2 linked regions of the Rattus norvegicus genome follow. The protein of the gene in region 2 interacts with the protein of the main gene of each other region in a biochemical or structural test. Links are inferred from orthologs where the notes say so. Each region holds a gene or a part of one and is shown on either strand. Other genes may lie near its edges. The genes, in order: Sh3bp5 and Btk.

Region 1 (10,761 bases), on a different chromosome or scaffold from region 2:
CTTACCTCCCACCATCTGTATTTGTGATCGCTAAGCTTCATGATAAACTTGACTGGATTTAGAATCACCTCTGAGACACACACACACCTCTGGCCAGCCTAGGAGAGCGTCTCTAGAGAGATTTAACTGAGTGAAGAACCACACCGAGGGTAGGTGTCACTGTCCCAGGAGCTGGGGTCCTACACCGAATTAAAGGGGGGAAAGGAGAACATCAGCTGAGTGTTGACGGCCTACTGTGTGCTTTCCTGATTCGTCCAGAAGAGGGCACTCTCTTGATCCAACTGCCATGCCTTCCCTGCCTGGGTGAGCTGCACCTTTAAACTGGACTCAGTCACAGCGCTTAGACATCTCTCTTTCTCTGTCTCCCTCTCCCTCTCCCTCTTCCTCTCTCTCTCACACACACACTTACTCACTCACTCCATGGTTTTCCAGAATTTTGAAGAGAAAAAGAAAAAAAATGAGGCAAGGGTCTCACTATATAACCCCAACTGGCCTGAAACTTGTTATGTAGACCACACTGGCCTGAGTTCACAGAAACCCCCTGCTTCTACTTCCTAAATGCTGCCATAATGAATTTCCAGAGGAACACACAGTGAATATGGCTTAGAAAGAGCATTATTTTTGCAAAAAGGACCCGGCAAGGTCCAAATGGGCTACCAAGCACACCAGGATAGGAAGCTCTTAAAACAAAACCAAAAACAAAGTATATGTCCAGGAGCATTTTGCCTGCGTGTTTCATGTCTGTGCACCACACGCATGCAGTGTGTCTGGGACAGATCCCCCTGGGACAGAAGGTTGTTAAAGCTGCCACGTGGGTTCTGGGGATAGAGTCTGAGTCACCTGGAAGAGCAGCCAGTGTTCTTAACTGCCAGGCCATCTCTCCAGTCCCTGGGCTTTTGTCCCAGGGCAGGTAGTAACTGTGTGTGTCCCCCATTAGCTGGTGTCCAACCTCACAGTCTTTCAAGATTGGCTAGTTTTAAAAGAAATTAAAAGAAAATTAAAGAGATTCCAAGAATGGGTTAGATGTGAACAAGCATTTTATTGGTGGGAGGGAATTCGAACATCTGCATTAAGCTGTCACAAGATGGGGGCGATAAATAGATGAACACAATGAAATCTTACAAGGTGAGAGAGTGAACAAGTTCTGAATTCCTTGTGCTAAACAAAAGTTTTAGAGTGCTTGGCAGATAAGACTAATATTAGCTGAGTATCTTAATCCCAGCATCCAAGAGGCAGAAGCTTGTGGATCTCTGTGAGGGCAAATCTGATCTATCTACATAGCTAGACCCTGTCTCCAAAAAAAAAAAAAGGCTAACATTTAATGTCGCTTACCCTGCTGAGACTAAAGGCATGTGTCACCCTGCCTAGCATGAAAAAGATTCCAAGGACCATCAGCACAGCTGTCCTGCTGAAGACGGAAATGTGATACCGGGAGATGCTGGGGCTGCCACTGAGCGTTTAGTAAATAAACCAAGTGGGTATAAATGGAAACACGCTGAAGCTCAGGCTCGAGGGGAGGACCAAGGATGGGCCCCTCTGTGGGAGCTCAGCTCGTTTGCTTGCCCCGGACATCAGATGTGGACAACACAGGCACAGCAATGTGACAGGGCTGCAGAAGGGAGGGTCACAGAGGACGGTAGACTTCATCCACACAGGCCCTGGGAGATGTCCCAACCAGGGAGGACCAGGCCAGCGCAAGCCTAGCCTGACACACGTCTTTGCTGTCGTCCCGCCCAGATTACACCACTTCTAAAGGGCAGCTGGGAAGCACGGAGCTGTGAGTTTTATCTGGGAAGATTTTCCTCCTGAGGGAGTGGTAATAAGGCAGATTACAAACACAGGCGGCATATTTCTCCCACTGTGTGGGGTTAAACAAACCTTTACAGGGCAATAAAAATAAATTAAACACCAGTGGAATCTTTAAGCAAAATACTTCTCAGGATTTTTGACTAAGGCATTCCACCTGTGTTAATCAGACTTTTTAAATTTTTCTTATTTAATGTGTATAGGTGTTCTGTATGTTGTATACCACATGTGTGCCTTCTAGCCAACAGAGGCTAGAAGACAGCATCAGGAGCCCCTGGAACTGGAGACATTCTTAACTGCCGTGCAGTCCTGGGAAATTAACCTAGGTCCTCTGTCTCAATTCTGTCTGACCAGTTCTCAACCTATCGAAAGGGCCTCGACCCTCACAGGGTGACATATCAGACATCCTGGGTATCAGATATTTGCATTATGATTCATAACAGTAGCAAAATTAGTTATAAAATAGCAATGAAAATAATTTTATGGTTGGGGTCACCACAACATGAGGGACTGTTTTAAAGACTTATACAGCATTGGGAAAGTTGAGAATCCCTGCCCTAGAATATCACCCAGTGCCACCTCTCCAGCCCCTAATCATCACTGTGACAAATACATGAGAGAAATAAGGGAAGATTTACTTTAGCTCCTAGTTTTAGTTCATGCCTTGGACTTGAGGCAAGCCTTGAACATTATGGCGTCAGGAGCAGATAATGGAGGCTGTTCACCTCACGGTGGCCGAGAAGCAGAGGAGGAAGGGAAAGATACGCTCCCCACTGACCCACTTTCTTCAGCTAGCCTGCAACTTCCACAACTCCATTACCTTCCAGCAGTCTCGTCAGGTTCTGGGGTCATCTACGGCCATCCCAGTGGCAGAGGCAGAACTTGCGTGTTTGGATCATTTCCCCAAAGCCCCTCCTCTCAGAGCCTCTGAAAGCCTGGCAGGGTTGCCACCCCTGAAACAGGTTACTGGACAAAGCACTGAGAGCTGTTTTCATGATGTGAACGACACATTGTGATCGGGTAGTCGGTGCTTCCTGAAATTGACCAAACGCAGATCCAGGAAAGGATCATCACAGCGTACTTTACCTAACCAGCCCCTGGGGCATCTCAAACTGTAAAGTTAAGCTCAAAGTCTCTAAAGTGGCCAACAGGATCCCAGCCAGAGCTACGCCAACTGGGACTAGCCCACAGGGTGCTGGGGGGAGGGGTAAGCAGCCACTGTTTTGAGTTCTGGCTGTGTAGCTCAGGCTGGTCTAGAACTTGTGATCCTCTGGGACTTGCCTCAGGTTGTTCACCCATGCTGAACTCTTAACTCCAAATAGTCTTAGGAAGTAAATTGAAGCTTTGGAAGTGATAAGGCCAGGAGGGTTGAGGGTCTGAGCAAATGGGATTAATATATGTATAAAAAGAGACCACAGAGTTTTCCTAAGGCTTTCTTTCTGACATAAAGTTCGTTGAGCAGATGGAAGTCTACAAGCCCAGGAGGGCCCTTCTCAGCTCTTGACTTTGCTGGCATCTTGTCCTGTGATTTCTGGCTTACAGAATCAGGAGTGGGTGCCATTTAGGAGCTGTGGTATTTTGACACAGCAGCCCTCCCCAACAAGGGTCCTCCTTCAGTATGTGGAGTAGTTAGCAAAGTGTTTCCTGCTGCCTGGTGGGGTTACCCCAGTATAAGTCTGAGAACTTGTAATACAAAGAGTATGTCACTCTGTCCATGTGGTAATGACCTTGGGGGGTGGAAGTAGGGTGCTGCCAGCCAGACAGTGGTGGCACATGCCTTTAATTCCAGCACTAGAGACAGCCAGGGGGATCTCTGAGCTCTAGGCCAGCCTGGTCCTCAGAGCAAGTTTTAGGACAGCCAGGGCTACACAGAAAACCGTGTCCCATCCCCCCCACCCCCCACCCCCGAAAAAAGAAAAACTGGAGGGAGGGAGGGAGGGAGAAAGAGAGAGAGAGAGAGAGAGAGAGAGAGAGAGAGAGAGAGAGAGAGAGTTGTATATTGAATTGTACAGGGGCGCTTGATTAAAACTGCAGCACTTGGGAGACAGAGGAAGGAAAATCAGAAGGTCAGGGCCAGTCCCAGGTCATGAGAACCTGACAGCAGCCTGAGCTGAGGCTGTTTCAAAGTGAGTGATGGCAAGTCAGTAGACTGACCTAATCAGGGGGAGTGTTGGAAACAGGGTCAGGCTCTTCCAGAAAGAGAGACTGAAGCACGTGAGGCCTGTGGTACAAGAGAGATTCTCTGGTGCTGGCTTTGAAGAAGACCCGCCATGGGAGAAAAGAGGCGGACACCCCCAGGGTTGTTATTCTTGGCCTTGGCTGTCAGCAAGGAAACCAGATCCCCAGACCTGAGGTTAACCAACACTAAATGAATTTGAAAGTCATTCTTCCTCAGAGCTTGCGGAAGGAACAACCTGGCTGAAACCCAGTTCAGCCCGTGAGAGCCTGAGACGAGACTGCCCAGCCCGCCTGATCCTTAATGGCCGCCATGTTCCGGCCTTATCCTTGGAATTGTACCTTTAGCAAAGAACTTTAAATCACCTCTCCCAGAATGGCCAGCAAGGTACCAGCAACAAAGAGGTGTGATCTCTTTAGAAAGAAACCTAGGGAACACACCTGGACCGTCTCCATCAAACAGGGGTGGGGCCTTGCCCAACAGTGACCCCTTTTGCTTTGCTTGGGGGGGGTGCGGGGGCAGCAGAAGCAACTCTTCTTTTGATCACAGGCTCCCAAGAACTCCTCTCTCCTCCAAACAAAGCTGTCCTCCAAACCCCATGGGATGGACCACAGCTTCCCTCTACAAAGTGTTCCCTTTGCTCGGCCATCTGACCAGGTCTTCCCTGACCTCACGTGGTCCCGGCACCTGTAACCGTACAGGGAAACCCTTCCACTGTTAGCCCTTTTGTGATGTCCCGCTGGCTAGGCAAGCTCTAGCTAGGTGATGTTGGGCAGAACCACATAGTTCCTACACTGGCCAAGCTTACCCACGAGCAGGCAGTGCGATCTCTTTAAAAAAAAGCCACCCCGATCTATTAGACCACCCCACCCCCACTCCCCCAGCTCCATGGGCTCTTCGTGCATTCAGGATATCCAGGTAGGCCCTAAGAGTTCGTGCCTTAGCTTGCTGAACTTTGTCCAGCAGACTCCAGGCTTTGGATGTCCACTCGGTGGCTGGAGGCTAGCTTTCTTCTATCTCCTGTACAGACAAGCTTACCGTAGAGGTCCTTTTTCTGTGGAACTAAGTAGACACAAAAGTAGCTTTAGAGAATGGAAATCACCTGAACTTTCCTTCTGTGCCTTGATCTGCTTCACTGGAGGCAGGAGGAAGCTAGCTTAAGGCGGCCCATGCGCGGGCCAGTGAGCCACTGGGCGGCGTCTCTCCTAGTGGCCATGACCGGGACTCCAGGGCTTTTTGTGACAGAGCGTCGGGTGACACAGGCTATCAGGGCGGTCTGGGCGAAGCGGCCGAGGTGTGCTGCAGGCCGCTGCAGACAGGGGGCAGCCGCGCCCACTTCCTCCATCACTCGGCACCCGCTGGCGGAGCACCCGGGGTGGCAGCGCTGCGCGCCCAGTCCTACCCGGTTGCGGCGAGGCCGCCCTCAGCGCGCTCCGGTCCCACTGCGCACGCTTTGCGACCTGGCTGCCCGCATGGACACGGCGCTGAAACGGAGCCGCTCTGAGGAGCCGGTGGAGCTCCCGCCGCCCGCCCGGGAGGCGGAGGAGAAAGAGGAGGAGGAAGAGAGGATGGAACAGGGCCTGGAGGAGGAGGAAGAGGTGGACCCCCGGATCCAGGTAGGACGCGTGTGACAGGACCCTACAGCCGCACCCCGCCAGGGCTGATGTGGAAGTCGATGCCTACGCGGATACTCGCCTTATAGCCCCGCGTGTTCGCAATCACGGGGTGGGAGCTGCCTAAATCCAGGAGCTGCACCAAGGGTTGGGGCACCCCATTTCAGTCTCCCCGCGGAAGGCTTCGGTGCCCGCGTGAAGGCGGCCTGATGATTGCGGGGATCCCTGCGGACCCTCGGCCCAATCCGAGGGTCCCTACAACAAGACCAGCGGTTCAAGCAGATTGCAACAAAGGAAAAAGGGGGCGGGGGCCCCGAGCGGAGTCGGGGTACCTCGGCGCGGCTTTCCGCGCTGGGAGCACTGCACAGACTCGGAGCTTCTGCGCAGCGTTACCCTGGCTGCGTGGATGCGGACATCGTGGTGGGAGAGCAGGGCAAGGTGGTTGTCGCCTGCCCCTGTAGTGTAGACTGCACCGGTGCGGGGCGCCTCGCCAGCCCTCACCTGGCAGAGGTGCCTGGCCTGGGCCACCTTCCTCTTTTGGTTCATTGTCAGTACATGGTGGATGTCGTTGTCACCATTGGCATGGTGTTGCACTTGGCCCGAGACTGGTTTAAAACCCTCCTTTTCCTTGTGAGGTCAGTGTGAACACCCACCAGGGACAGCTGATGCGCAAAGCGTGGAGGCAGGGAGAGCAGGGAAGCCCGGCTTTCTGCTCCTCCATTTCCAGGAGAGAGAGTTAAAAAACAATTTCCAGGAGTGACAGCTTAACCTCTTCACCTTCCTAAGCACAAAGCAAATTCCTTTCCACGACCTGTTTGGTACCCTTTCCATAAATCATTTTTTAAAAAAATGCGATTAAGCATAGTTGCAATTTCTGGACCCATAATTGGTTTTAAATGCACAGATAAAGAAATACAAACATGCTTTTAACTCACCAGCTTGGGCTTAAATTAACTATTTTGTCAAATTAATACACTCAAGATCAGAAATAGCCTTCTCATTGGTTATTCTGTTAATTCAGACCCTGGGTTTGGATTTCAGAATCTTGTGGTTTTGGTGTGGAATTTTGTTAGCAAGACCTTTGTTCACAGAGTAGAGATGAGTTACCTCATGTCAGCTCCTTCTTACAAAGTGTCAAGTTGCAAATGTTCAAAAGAGGTCCGATTAAAGCCAGGTAACCAACAGCACCCAGGTAGGCAGAGCAAATAATGTGTGTGCGGTTAGAAAAACAAAATCATCTCTTTATAGGAAACTAGCCATGATGAGTTAATGTTGGAAGTCTGCCTTTGGCCCGGCTGCACTGGCCTTGTGTTTCAGTGTGTCGGAATGTTTCTGTACTGATTTCCTTGAAAAGTTCTTTCCTAAGCAAAGGGTGCTGTTTTGACTAAATTACTGTTTGTAACAGGTGAGTTCACCTGGAAAAAAAAAACAATGACCTTTCAGGGAAAGATAAACCTGTAGGACCTTAAAGATGTCAAAAAAAAAAAAAAAAAAAAAAAGGATGCAGTCTACAAAAGACTTTAGGAATGGCAGAGGCTTTGTATTTTAGCCGATCCTCAGCTGTTTTCAGGAAGAATGAACTGGCTTGTATCATTCGAGGGAAATGTAACTGTTACACTACAGACAAAAGGCTAGCCCTGGTAACCTCTCTCCTCTCTCTCTCTCTCTCCCCCTCTCTCTCTTCATTAGGGAGAACTGGAGAAGTTAAATCAATCCACCGATGACATCAACAGACGGGAGACTGAACTTGAGGTACAGAGAGCTGGGGCGCTGTTGTTGGGTGAAGCAGTGTCAGTCACCTTTGACCCTGGGCTGCTTAGTTTTGTTTTAATAGCTGGAGGCCCATGCTTGGATGTTGAGCGACAGCGTGTGCCGGACAGTAAAACACACCCGAGTCCAGGCTGTGGGCGGATGCGTGTGGATCCAATTTCAAGTGCTGTTTTTCATTATGGAGGCTCCACTGGGACCAAAATCAAGGGCTGAGCAGGGTATTAAACAATGCGTAAGGCCCAATATTCCTGTATCTGTAGAAAAGCTAAAAGAATTGCGACTTAGCCGAACTCTTCAATGTAGTTTATGTCTCACGGTATTTTCTTTATTCCACTCGTGCTTGGAACTGCTATGGTTCCCTCGGACTTAAGCCATCCTAATGATTCACCCCTCTTTCTGATTCCCCGCCACTGTCTGTGTGCAGAATGTAATTATCTTAATGGTAACAAAAAAGATGTCTGGGCTGGGAAGGGCCTTCCTGCTGGGAAAAGTTTTGGGAGATAAGACTTGATTTGAACTTGAGAATGTTTCAGCCTTCCTGTAAACAAGTTGGGATTCTTCACAGCTACCAATTTCTAGTGGTTGGGTTACCAGCCAATGGGAGCACACCCCTGTGAGTGACTGTCAGGGCTAAGGGACTTCGGAGAGCTGCAGAGAGAACCAATTTCTACAGTAGAGGGAGCAGGATGGGCCAAGGAGAAAGCGGAGAGCACCAGGCCCCTCAGAGCCGGGGTGTGTGGTGTGAGGGAAAGGAAAATACTAAGCTGGAGTTCACTCGCAGCCTGCTTTTGGAGAGCGTGTAGCCTTGGAAGTCACAGATCCATATGTGGCAGTGTGGGCTAAAGTTTCTCTGCGTTTATCTATCACGGACTCCCATTCTCACCTATGTAGGGAATTGGAGAACTCACTGTGAAGTTGGGCAACTGAAAACTCTGAGGATCTCAAATTCTTAGTGCACTAAGCAAGCAAACAAATAAATATCTGCCAATTTTAGGGGGAAACTGGGCAATTGGAAACCATGAGTTTGCCCATTGAATATTCTCTCTCTCTCTCTCTCTCTCTCTCTCTCTCTCTCTCTCTCTCACTCTGTGTGTGTGTGTGTGTGTGTGTGTGTGTGTGTGTGTGTGTGTGTGTTTTAAACATTCTCATGTAGTCCTGGCTGACTTCAAAATCCAGTACACAGTGGAGGACGGCTTTGAACTCTGGGTTCACGTGTACACACTGGGGTCACAGGCCTGCGCCACTGTACCCAGCTACTTTCAGACTCCATAGACTCCATCCCAAACGTACATGGACAAGTTGGAAAGAATTTGTTTCTTGTTTTGAGCAGAAAGTTTGTCTTGTTTATGTTTGCAGTGTTGGACTGAGGCCCAGGGCCGATGGGCTTTTGAGGCCGGGTTCACAGAACTCAGGGACAGCTGACTAGGTCTGCTGCACTTTCCTGCAGTCCCAGCACCTGCAGGGCAGAGGCAGGAGGATCAGGGGTTAGAGGTCACATAGTCACAAGCAGCAAGCTTGAGGCAAACGACTCTGTCTCATGGAAGGAAGGAAGGAAGGAAGGAAGGAAGGAAGGAAGGAAGGAAGGAAGGCAGGCAGGAAGGAAGGCAGGCAGGAAGGAAGGAAGGCAGGCAGGAAGGCAGGCAGGCAATCAGGGACCATGGAGGCAGAGAGCTGGGGGTGGCAAGGATCAGGTTTCTGAGAGAGACGGCCAACCATGGTTCTTCTGTCCTTTCTGCTCACTTATCCACTGTTGGTCACCATTCTGGGTGTGAACAGGGTGGTCTCATAGCCCCATAACTTGGGCTTCATGGCACCTGCCTTCTGGAAGTTAGGTTGGTTCATTTGTTAAACTCTTGTTAGCCCTGATTTCCGAATTCCACAGATTTGGTGTGTCACAGGAAGTCCCCGGACAGGTGTTTCCTGCTAGGCTCTGGGTCACATTTGGAGCCCTGGCGTGTTTGTCAGGCTTCTCTAGATGAACAGAGCTCATAGAATGATTCTCTTTCTATACAGAAAGGGGGTTTATTAGAATGGCTTAAAGGCCACTGTCCAACCAGTCCAACGATGGCTGTTTACCAATGGCAGGTTCAGGAATCCAGTAGTTGCTCAGTCCACAAAACTTGATGTCTTAGCTGGTCTTCAGGAATGCACTGGAGTCCTAAGGAAGTAGGCTCTAATGTCAGTGAAGGAGTGGACTTGCTAGGGGGAGTGAGAACAAGCAGGCCAGGAGAGCAAGCCTCTTCCTTCCAAGTCCTTTCTGTGGGCTACCAGCAGAAGGTGTGGTCCAGGTTAAAGGTGGATCTTCTCACCTCAAAAGCAGTCTGGATTAAAAAGTGGGTTTTCCCACTTTATATGATTTAATTTAGAAAAAAGTCCCTCACAGATGTACGCAGCCACTTGGGTTTTGGTTAATTCCTAACGCAGTCAGTTCACAGCCAAGGGCTCACAGCTACATGGTATGGCTGAGGTTCGAGTAGAGCAGCCTGGCTGGGTGTGTTGTTGGGTGGCTTCCCCTGGTAGGGTTACAACCTGGACTGACCCAGAGACATATTAATAAGCCACAGAAGCAATTTAAAAGCTCCCTAGTTGCTCCGTAAAAATTACAAAAGACATAGGGGAAATTAGTGGTAATGTATTTTGTTTAACTCAGACTATCCCCAGTAGAATAAATTCAACAGGGATTCGGTGTAACAAAATAATTAACTTGGGAGCTGGTAGTGTGGCTCAGAGGAGGAATGCTCACTGACAAGCCCAAGGCCTTGAGGTCAATCTGCAGGACTTGGGGGAGGGGTCTGCAGGAATAGGGGTGGGCACACGGGATGCTGTTGAGGATGGAAGCTGAGGACACACACACACACACACACACACTCACACACACACACACTCTCTCACACACACACTCACACACACACACACTCTCACACACACTCTCACACGCACACATACACATACGTGCACGCGCACACACACTCACACACTCACACACGCACACACACTCACACACTCACACTCACACACACTCACACACACATACACACACGTGCACGCGCACACACACACTCACACTCTCACACACACTCACACACACACACTCACACATGCACACACGTGCACGCGCACACACACTCACACACACTCACACACTCACACACACTCACACACTCACACATGCACACACGTGCACGCGCACACACACTCACACGCACACACACTCACACACTCACACACACTCACACATACACACACGCACACACACACACACTCACACACACACACACACTCACACACACACACCACCTCCACCCCGCATGGTTCAGGGAAGCAGTCTTCAGCACTGTAACCCCAGCATCTACAGGTGTTTGTGTGCTAAGTCTTCAAAATGGCGCAGGACTTTCA
Region 2 (10,236 bases):
CCCAAAGTTTGGGCGTTCTCCAAACAGTCATATGTATCGGTTTCTCTACTTTTCCCTGAGCAGTGCTCAGATCTAATTGCTAACCTCTGAAGAGAAGGGACGGCTAGAATTCAGGGCACAACAGAACACAAGAAGAGCTGGAGGTGGTGGCACACACTTGTAATCGCAGCACTAACGAGGCTGAGGCAGGAGGTTTGCCTGGAGTTCCAGACCAACATGAACCACAGAGGAGGAGTGGGAGGGGGGGGAGGAGGAGGAGGAAGAGGAGGAAGAGGAGGAGGAGGAGGAGGAGGAGGAGGAGGAGGAGGAGGAGGAGGAGGAGGAGGAGGAGGAAGTAGTTGTTGTTATGGAGGAGACTGACTTTTTTTTTACTCCAAACCTGCTTGGTTATGCATGAAGTCATCAGGGGAGGGGGAGGGGACACACCTCTGAGGCGCCTGAAACAATTGGGCCACGTGTAACTTTCAGTTTGTTATGGAGGTTTATGTACAGTAATTGAGCATCATCTTAGAACTGTATAAACCTGGGGTGTCTAACCACAGGCATTCCTCCCCACTGCCCACTCTCTGAATGCCCTCTTCAAAGACGCCTCAAAATGCAAAAATTTCAGGTTATTTGAACCCTAGCTTTTCTCACTGCTGACCCTCACCAAAGTGAAAATAAAGCCTGACTCCAAAAAAGAAATTTAGAGAGTTATGAGCAATTGAGTTTTAGACAAATGGAGGATTAAAATAAACTCGTTTAGTGAAAAAGTTAGTGTAGAATAAAGCCAGAGTTTTTTTTTTTAATCACTGAAAGTGACATGAAAATGAAGTAAAGATGTAGAGGAAAAGAACTCAGTCTCTCAAAGCCTGCTATTAGGAGCAGAACTTGGTACACTATCTCTGGAGGCAGTTTGGCAATATGTAGAGAAATGCAAAATGCACACACAATTTTTCACATTTCTGTATATATATGCATATATATTGTGGTGTGTATATGTGTGTTTATGATATGTGTGTCTGTTTCTGTGTACATGGTGTGTGTGTGTGTGTGTGTGTGTGTGTGTGTGTGGTTTTTTTCATGGTGTAGATGTGTATATGTATCTGTGTGTATATATCAGTACCTGTATGGTGTGTGTGTGTGTCTGTATTTGGGTATGTGTGTGGGTATTTGTGTGTGTGTGTGTTTGTGTGTGTGTGTGTGTGTGTGTGTGGTGTGTCTGTATGGTGTGTACACATGCACAAGTATGTGCCGACGCCTTCAGAGAGTGTCAGAGTTACAGGATGCTGTAAGTGGCTTGATATGGATGCTGGGAACTGAACTCCAGTCCTTTGGATAAAGAGCAGGCACCCTTCTTACCTGCTGAGCCATCTCTCCAATTCCTCCTCCTCCTCCTCCTCCTCCTCCTCCTCCTCCTCCTCCTCCTCCTCCTCTTCCTCCTCATTTCTCTTGTTATTTAGACTTTGAGACAGGGTTTCGCTGTGTATCCCAGGCTGGCCTTAAACTCACTATGTGATCCTCCTGTCTCAGCCTCCTGAGTGCTGAGAGGGCACTCATACTTCATAGCCATGGCTAGGAATAATGGTAAAGAAAAATCTTAGAATTGTTTTTTTTTTTTTGGCAAGAAGTATGTTGCATGGCAGGATGAATGGATATATGGATAATTTTAAACATAAGTAACCTATACATGATATGTGCAATATGATTCCAAATCTAAGAAAAGTACACAGGAAAAAACAAAAAGATGCCACGATTCAAATACATCTATATAGGAAGTTTGTGGTTGATTTTTAAATTTTTAGTATCATTAAACTTGAAACATTTTCTACAATGAATTTGCATTATTTTGATCTAATAGGGAAAAATAAATGTTTAACCAAAGGGAAACAAAAAATCATTTGAAAAATAAGCCAGATATAATGGAAATCTTCGTTATAAATCTGTTCACCTGTTGTGTTGACAAAGTAAGTATTTTTCAGTCAAATTTGAGCAGTGTTTCCTGAGAACTTATTGCTAACATTTGGGTTGCCTTGATACTATGAGCCTGGCATTGTAAAGACATTTCTTCTGCCTGGGCTTGATGATATATGCCTCTAATTCTAGTACATGGGGACGCAGAAGCAGGGAAATTCTGAGTTTAAGGCCAGCCTGATCTACATAGTGAGTTCCAGGATAGCCAGGACTATGTAATGAGACCTTCTCAAAGAAAAGAGAAAGGAATAGAAAAGAAAAGAAGAGAAGAGAAGAGAAAAGAAAAGAAAAAGAGCTACTGGGTTTAATAGCACCACATAAATTGGGTGTGGGAATGCAGGCCCATAATCCCAACACTCAGTGCACAGAGGAAGGAGAAGATCAGAAGGCCATGGTCATCCTTGACTACATAGGAACAGCCTCAGCTACATGGAACCTTGGTGGGGTGGGAGGAAGAAAAATCAACCTAAATCAACCTGGGAAGTAATAGCATGCTACAGAAACTGCAGGAGCTATAGATGGATGAAGATGGACAAGGTACACAGGCTACACATATTAATTTTATTATGTTTGTTGTCAAGAACCAATGAAATAACCCATGTAAGATGTTGGTCAGAAGTTGGGATGTGTGGCTCAGTGGTAGAGCTCTAGCCTAGCCCGCACAAGGTCCTGAGCTTCATCCCTAGCACCACAAACATAAACGATAAAATAATCTAAAGTGACTGACAGCTAGATGACACTAGAACAGGACTTCTTTCCTTTTTGTTTCATAAAGAATAGAAATAGCCAGATGCTTGATGGCCAACTATCAAGAGCTTTAAAGGAGAAATAATGAGAAAATGCTACTTCTTTGATATTCTGGTTAAGTAGTTCTGTTGGAGTACTATTGACTCACAGCTCTCTCATCAACTCTCTCCAATCGTAGGTGAGCTGGGTCATTTCCTCCATATTGCTTCAGTTGTTTCTAGTAGTATTTCATCTTACCCTAAGCAAGGATAATTGCCAGTAATGATTTCATTTATTGATTCTTCAAGTGCTATTGATATTAATGCTTTGGCATGGTGCAGGTTGTGTGATAACTGAACTCTGACTAATAGGCTTCCTCTTTTTGAATTCTACTGCTGCATATAGAGCTGAGAGGCTGCAAAAAGGTGCCTATGTGTACTCCTTGTATTTGGATTTTAATAATGTTACAACACTGAAACTATGTGTCACACCAACAACTCGGATTTTCTCCCTTTTCTTTCTTCCCACCTGTATGAAGCCCTCTCAGTATATGTGACATTTCTGTTACTTCAGTTTCCACTGAGTCTCTCACCCCTTGACTAACACATGCAAGGTCAGCTCTCATCATGCATATTTTTGTGTGTGTTTGAATGGCATCTATTAGCCAATGAAATCACTAGAGGCAAAATTAGAGCTTCCCACAATAAGTAGCTCCAAGGCTCTACCTGTTATCTTCTATATTATTGGCTGGTGGACCAGAGGTACCTAAGAAGGAAGTACCTCCTTTTTAGGCTGTGTGAGTCTGGATTGCATTCTAAGGAAAGGAAGAAGAACGAAGGGATAGCAAACCATGGACATTGCAGTAACCATGCAGTTCAACGGTCTAGAGGTAGAGGCTATCTTACTCCTCGCTCAGAGTGGCATAGTGGCTTACTTCCTCATATTAGACTAGCACTAAAGCTTACCTCGACACAAGCACTGTACAAATTGGATTTGTTCAAAGAAGGAAGGAAGGAAGGAAGGAAGGAAGGAAGGAAGGAAGGAAGGAAGAGGCAACAGCAGCACATGTCTTATAGGACATTAGAGCAGGTATCAGGACTGAAACTGACAATGGGTCTAAGCAGGAACGTGTTCACTAAGATCATACAACATAATAGAAGGTAAAAAGGCTCATGGTTCCTTGGGATGCATTTGACCCTCTACTGCTCATGCTACTCAGTTTCCTTAGGGTTTTATTTTGCCTTCTGTAATTTGGGTCTTTGATTATGAAAAGACACTTGATTGTAATTCATCATGAAGCAAGAGTGATATTATCGCAAATGGCTTAGCAGTCAATAAGTAATAATGACTTATTAGTTGCAATCAATAAGTGATAATGACTTATTAATTACAAGCAACAAAGTGATAATTACTTAGTAATTATAATTAATAAGTAACGATGACTTATTAATTACAATTACTAAGTAATAACCAAATGATAAGTAATAATAACTTATTACTCCATGACATAGCAATTAATAAGACTAGAGTATAAGGTTTGCTGTGTTACCACTGCTTGTCAGTAATTGGAGAATTATGCTATTAAGCGAAAATTTGGAGGTTGGCTGAAACTGAAGGTAGGACTGACGGCTTGTCACTCTGGTGGGAGTCCATTTTAGGCAGAGGGCAAGAAAGGGGACTTATGTAGCAAGGTGAAGGGAAGGGTTTGCATTTCTGCATCATTTCTTTTTAAAGATTACTAACAAAACACTAACCTGAGCTGGAGAGATGGCTCAGCCATTTAGAGCAATGACTGCTCTTCTAGAGGGCCTGAGTTCAAATCCCAGCAACCACATGGTGGCTCACAACCATCTGTAATGAGATCTGATGTCCTCTCCTGGTGTGTCTGAGGACAGTGACAGTGTACACAGATACATAAAATAAAGAAATAAATCTTTTTAAAAAATTAACCCAACCCACTGCCAGAAGGCTGCAGCAACTGTGCCATAGACAGAAAGCAGAGATCATTCTGACAGTCTCTGAAACCATTTTTGTCTTCTTAGCATGGTAATAGAACTGTCTGGGGTTGGGGATTTAGCTCAGTGGTAGAACGCTTGCCTAGCAAGTGCAAGACCCTGGGTTTGGTCCCCAGTTCCGGAAAAAAAAAAAAAAAAGAACTGTCTACACCACAGGAAAGGGCAAAACAACTGTACATAGCACCAGGCTTTAATTAAAAACCACCAAACCAAACCAAACCAACCCCAACCCCCCCTTGTTCTCCCTCCTTTAAAAAAAATCACCTTTTCAGAGGAAAAAAAGTAGAAGTGCTGACTTTACTTTTTTGGTTTTTATAGTGCCACAAAAAGCAAAAGGTATTTCGTGAGAATAAAATTTCACACTCCTTCCAGGGAAAAGGCCTCTGATTCTAAGCTAAGTTCCAAGGAGATATAATGATTTTTTTGTTACTCTGTGGTCCGTTTTTATGACTATCATCTTTTCACATATGTTTCTAATGAAACTTTAGAATTGGCAGAATTGTGTGTAAACTTTAGGTAGATTGAGGTAAGAGTGTGTGTGTTTGCTCACACACATACGAGCGTGCGCGTGTATGTCTGTCTGTCTGTCTGTCATTCTTGAGCTGTGCTTGGTGTGCATACCTATAGTCTAGATAGCACTGCAGATGCTGAAGCAGCAGAATTGGTCTGACGTCTGGGCCTGTCTTGGCTTCCAAATGAGTGGAAGGTCAGCATGAGCTACATTGGGGTTTCAATCCTCAGCACCACAGAAAAGCATTTGATGGCTTTGTGGAATTTTCTGGAGAATTCTAAGCATATTTCTCTTCCTAAATAAGCACAGCTGGCATCCTTAAGAGTAACATAGTTACTTTACTTTTTAAAAAAATATATGTGTTATTTTATTGTATGGTTATGAGTGTTTTGCCTGTACTAACATATATGCACCACTAGCATAGTGGATGCCCAAGGACAGAAGAAGGCACCAAATATCCTGAAACTAGGGTTACAAGTGTTTGTGAGCCATCATCTGGGTGTCAGAAACTGAATCCTGATTTTCTGCAGGAACAACAAGTGCTTTTAACCACTGCTCCATTGATACATCACTTTTACCTGGTGCCATCTGAAAGAAACCATCTAAGGAGAAGGGAGAGGGAGGCCGAAGGGCTAAAGTACTGTAGGAAAGCTGGTCTCAGCTTGAAAACAAAGCTCTCCTTTATACCCTGGTTAGCAGGGAGTGAGCTAAGTCACCTGGCTGGCAGTTATTGTGTGCTCATAAGTACAGGTGAAGCCTCCATGTCTTTTTAGCTACAGACCTGAGCGGGTAACTTTCGAAAGATTACATCATTGTTTAAGATCCTGGGAACTGAAAGTTCAGTGTGTGCCTTAGTGACTTCTGGTACTTGAATTCTCCCTTTGAGCATATCAGGGTCAATGGTTTCACAGAAAATTTTGCAGTTTACAGATTTGGAATGTGCCATAAAAGGGTAAATAGTGTAACGTGGTGTCTAGATATTCCTGACCACCCGAGGGCACACTGTTGGCCTACAGAGCATTCAGTTCCCTTACACAAGAAGCCCAGTTTTATAAACTCAGCACGTAGAATCAATCCCCTGGTTAAATAGTATGCATTCACTGTACTTGAAATTTGACCAAGTTGGGGACTGTGAAAGAAGATGTTCAGGCAGAAATAAGGCTCCTTGCTAGTGCTATCTATTTGTGTTTTGTTTACAACAGGTAGCAGGGTTAAGGCAGAACCAAGTAGGACAAAAATGACTATGCTAGAACCTTAAAACCTTTTACTATCCACAGCACACAGACAAGTTCCAGAGAGAGGAAGCCATGGCTGCTGTGATACTGGAGAGCATCTTTCTGAAGCGCTCCCAGCAGAAAAAGAAAACATCACCTTTAAATTTTAAGAAGCGCCTATTTCTCCTGACTGTGCACAAACTTTCATACTATGAATATGACTTTGAACGTGGGGTAAGTTTCCCAAATTACGAAGCGCAAATTTCACTATTTCAAGGACATAGTCTTGGATCTTCTGTGAGACACGAGATATGTCTTCCATGGTAGCAAGGGTTGGTGGGTAGGAATTAAGTAAACCTAAGTACATCAAACTCAAAAAAATATTTCCTAGCCTAGGAGGAGGTACAGTCATGCCAGGGAAAAAAGTCAAGGGTGTTAGGAAGCTATTCAGAATGTCTTACCATGGGATTGTGTGGTTGGTAAGAACTCACTATATGCTTGTTGAGAATAAAATCCAAGAACTTGACATCGCTTTTTTATTTCTGTGGCAAAAATGCATATAATCATTTATTCTTCTATGTTATCTGCTTCCCATTTGGTATTTAAAGGTTAGATAAAATGTTGGATTTTTTTCAAACTAACAGGTTCTGCCAGGCACAGTGACACATACTTTTACTCCCAGCACTCGGGTTTATGTAGTGAGTTCTAGGCCAGCCAGGGCTACATAGTGAAACCTGTGTCCAAAACAAACGAACAAAAACAAAACAAAACAAACAAACAAAAAAACCAAAAAAAGGTTCTGTTAGGTTGCAAGTACCACCTCACCACGACAGTGACTAGATAACAGTGTGTAAATATCTGGTTGCTTGATCACTCGTAATCTTCCTCCATTTTCTTCCTCATTCTTTCCTTCAGAGAAGAGGCAGTAAGAAAGGTTCAATAGATGTCGAGAAGATCACCTGTGTTGAAACAGTAGTTCCTGAAAAAAATCCCCCACCAGAAAGACAGATTCCAGTTCCGGTAAGATGAAGCTTGTGTCAAAGAGGGGGAGCTACAGACTGTAAGGCGCTTGAAATTCTCAAATACTCCAAATACAACGGTGGTGGTGTAGTGCATTGTTTTGTTTCCTTAACAAATTCTTCACAGGGAGCCAGCAAGATTGTTCAGTGGGGAGGGGAACTTGCTGCCACACCTGATGACTTGAGCTCCATCCCTGAAAATTGTCCTCTCACCTCCACCTAAGAACTGTGCCTCATATGTGGACACTCGCGCACGCGTGCGCACGCATACACACACACACACACACACACACACACACACACACACACACACGAAACAAATAGCAAGAATGCAAGAAAAATAATTGTTTTCATTCAGGCTGGATATGGTAAAGTGCTTGCCACAGCAAGCCCAAGGTCTTCAGAATCCCCAGAATTCACCTCAAGCCAGGCCTGGCAGTGCATTTGTAAACTCAGCACTCCTATGGCAAGATGGGAGGTGGAGACAGGAGAATTCCTGGAAGCTCAAGGTCCAACTAGTTTGACATATGCAACAGCTGAAAAAGTGACCTTGTCTCAAAGAAGGTGGGAGGCGAGAACTGATACCCGAGGCTGTCCTCTGACATGCACAGGCACACTCCTGCAAATACATACATACACATACATACATACATGCATGTTTTAAAAATTGCTTTCCTTTTTTGAAGATTTACTTTTAAATATGTGTATTATGTTTATATGTGGCTATGCATGTTATATATATATATACATACGTCTATACATACATATATATACACACTCATATACATTATATAATTAGAATATAATATTATTATATACCTTGACTTATTTTCTTTGGGAAGGGGTTGGTATTTTAGATTTTTTATGGGTGTGTGTAGCATAAGCTTATGCAAATACACATGAACCTGTTTGAGTGTATGTGGGAGCCAGGGGCCTTTCTCTGTCAGTCACTCTCCTCCTTTTCTGTGTAAACTTTTAAAATTATATTTATCTGTGTGTGTATTATGTATGTATGTATGTATGTATGTATGTATGTATGTATGTGTGTATGTATGTATGTACTCGTTATTTATTTGAGACAGAGTGATTGCTAGCCAGGAATACATTATGTAGACCTGCCTGAATTTAAACTCAGAGGCTCACCTGCCTCTGCCCCCTCAGTGCTCGGATTACAAGTGTGTGCTAGCAGGCCTGGCTGCACTTAGTTGTTTGTTTGTTTGGTGCATGTAAGTGGGTAGGTTCAAACGCACCACAGCATAAATATGGAAGCCAGAGGTCAACTCATGGAAATCAGGTCTTGCCTTCCACCATCAAGTTCCTGGAGATTGGACTGACGTCACCAGGCTCGGTGACAAGTGCTTTGACTCTCCGAGCCATTTGGGGAGCTGGAGTTACAGACATTTATTAACTGCCAAGTTGGTGTTGAAAATCAAATCCAGGTTCTCTGAAAAAAAAAACAGCCATCTCCTTAGAAACTATCTCCCTATCCCCCCTTTAAAAGGTTTACTACTTTGTGAATGTTTGTGTGCATGTATGTGCACTACATGCATGCCTGCTACCTGGTGTCAGTGGAGGCCAGAACACTGTATAAGTTCTGCTGTTTTCTGGGTCCCCTGAAATTGAAGTTGCAGGCAGTTGTGAGCCTCCATGTAGGGCCTGGGAACCAAATCCTGGTCCTTTGCAAGATTAGCAAGTACTCTTTGCTTTTTCTGGATTTTCAAGCAGGTGTGTGTGTGTGTGTGTGTGTGTGTGTGTGTGTGTGTGTGTGTGTGTGTCCCTAGCTCCTGGAACTTATTCTGTACACCAAGCTGGCCTCAGAGTCACAGAGATCTGCCGGCCTCTGCCTCCCTAGTGCTGGGATCAAAGGTGTGTGCCCCAAACATTTTTTTAAGGTATTTGAGTGTTTTGCCTGCATGTATGTAAAGATGCTGTGTTTGAATGTCTGGTGTGAATGGAGGCCAGAAGAGGGTGTCAGAGTGACTGGGCCTAAAGTTCCAGGTGTTTGTGAGCTGTGATGTGAGTCCTGAGATGTAAACTGAGTCCTCTGCAGGAACAGGCTCTACTCTTAATTGCTGAGTCATCTCTCCAACTCCAATAATGCTTTTATTATTTTTGTTTATATTACATTTCATTTTCTAGACGTTGAAAACTACGTAGGATGTATTTCTCTCCCCATTCTCTATAACATGAGATATTTCAAATAATAGTTAAATTTTCAGAGAAAACATATTTTATTGCTGACTTATTTTTACCGATAAGATTAAACAATAATGTGTCATTTGTGAATTGTATGTTTCTATTTGACCACTTTTTTGAGGTATTTACTGAGTTTCTCCCACTTTCAAAGGCATCTTGATATAAGACTATCAGTCCTTTGTTAATATTATTGTGTTGAAAATATTCTTCCAGTTTTTTAGTCTTTGAATTTGGTTTTGGTTTATTTTATTCTGCCCATGCCTCTTTCCTTCCTCTTGCCTATCTGTCTCTCCTCCTCTTCCCCCTCTTGCCCCTCCCCCCCTCCTCCTCCCCCTCCTCCCCCTCCTCCTCTTTCTTCAAGAAATGGTCTCTGTATGTATTTCCAGATGGCCAGGCTGGTCTTGACCTTATGGAAAGCAGGTTCTGTCTCCCAGATAGTAAGATTAAATGTATATGCCAACACATACAGCTCTTTCTTTCTTCTTCCTCTTCCTCTTCCTCTTCTTTTTCTTCTTCTTCTTCCTCCTCCTCCTCCTCCTCTTCTTTTTCTTCTTCTAAATTTTCTTCTTCTTGGATATTTTATCTATTTATATTTCAAATGT

What was found.
Region 1: the proteins of Btk (region 2) and Sh3bp5 form a complex in vitro, tested with the Homo sapiens proteins (2 studies listed by BioGRID, with this or other methods). The link is inferred for Rattus norvegicus from reciprocal best matches to the Homo sapiens genes BTK and SH3BP5.

What each region holds. Positions count from the first base shown.
Region 1 is NC_086034.1:6,649,403-6,660,163, reverse strand, and holds the start of Sh3bp5 (SH3 domain-binding protein 5), read left to right. Parts: upstream 1-5,452; 5' UTR 5,453-5,454; coding exon 5,455-5,598; intron 5,599-7,284; coding exon 7,285-7,347; intron 7,348-8,403; exon of another isoform or gene 8,404-10,761. UniProt on the Homo sapiens protein: Functions as a guanine nucleotide exchange factor (GEF) with specificity for RAB11A and RAB25. Inhibits the auto- and transphosphorylation activity of BTK. Plays a negative regulatory role in BTK-related cytoplasmic signaling in B-cells.
Region 2 is NC_086039.1:102,042,907-102,053,142, reverse strand, and holds part of Btk (tyrosine-protein kinase BTK), read left to right. Parts: intron 1-6,482; 5' UTR 6,483-6,512; coding exon 6,513-6,653; intron 6,654-7,334; coding exon 7,335-7,439; intron 7,440-10,236. UniProt on the Homo sapiens protein: Non-receptor tyrosine kinase indispensable for B lymphocyte development, differentiation and signaling. Binding of antigen to the B-cell antigen receptor (BCR) triggers signaling that ultimately leads to B-cell activation.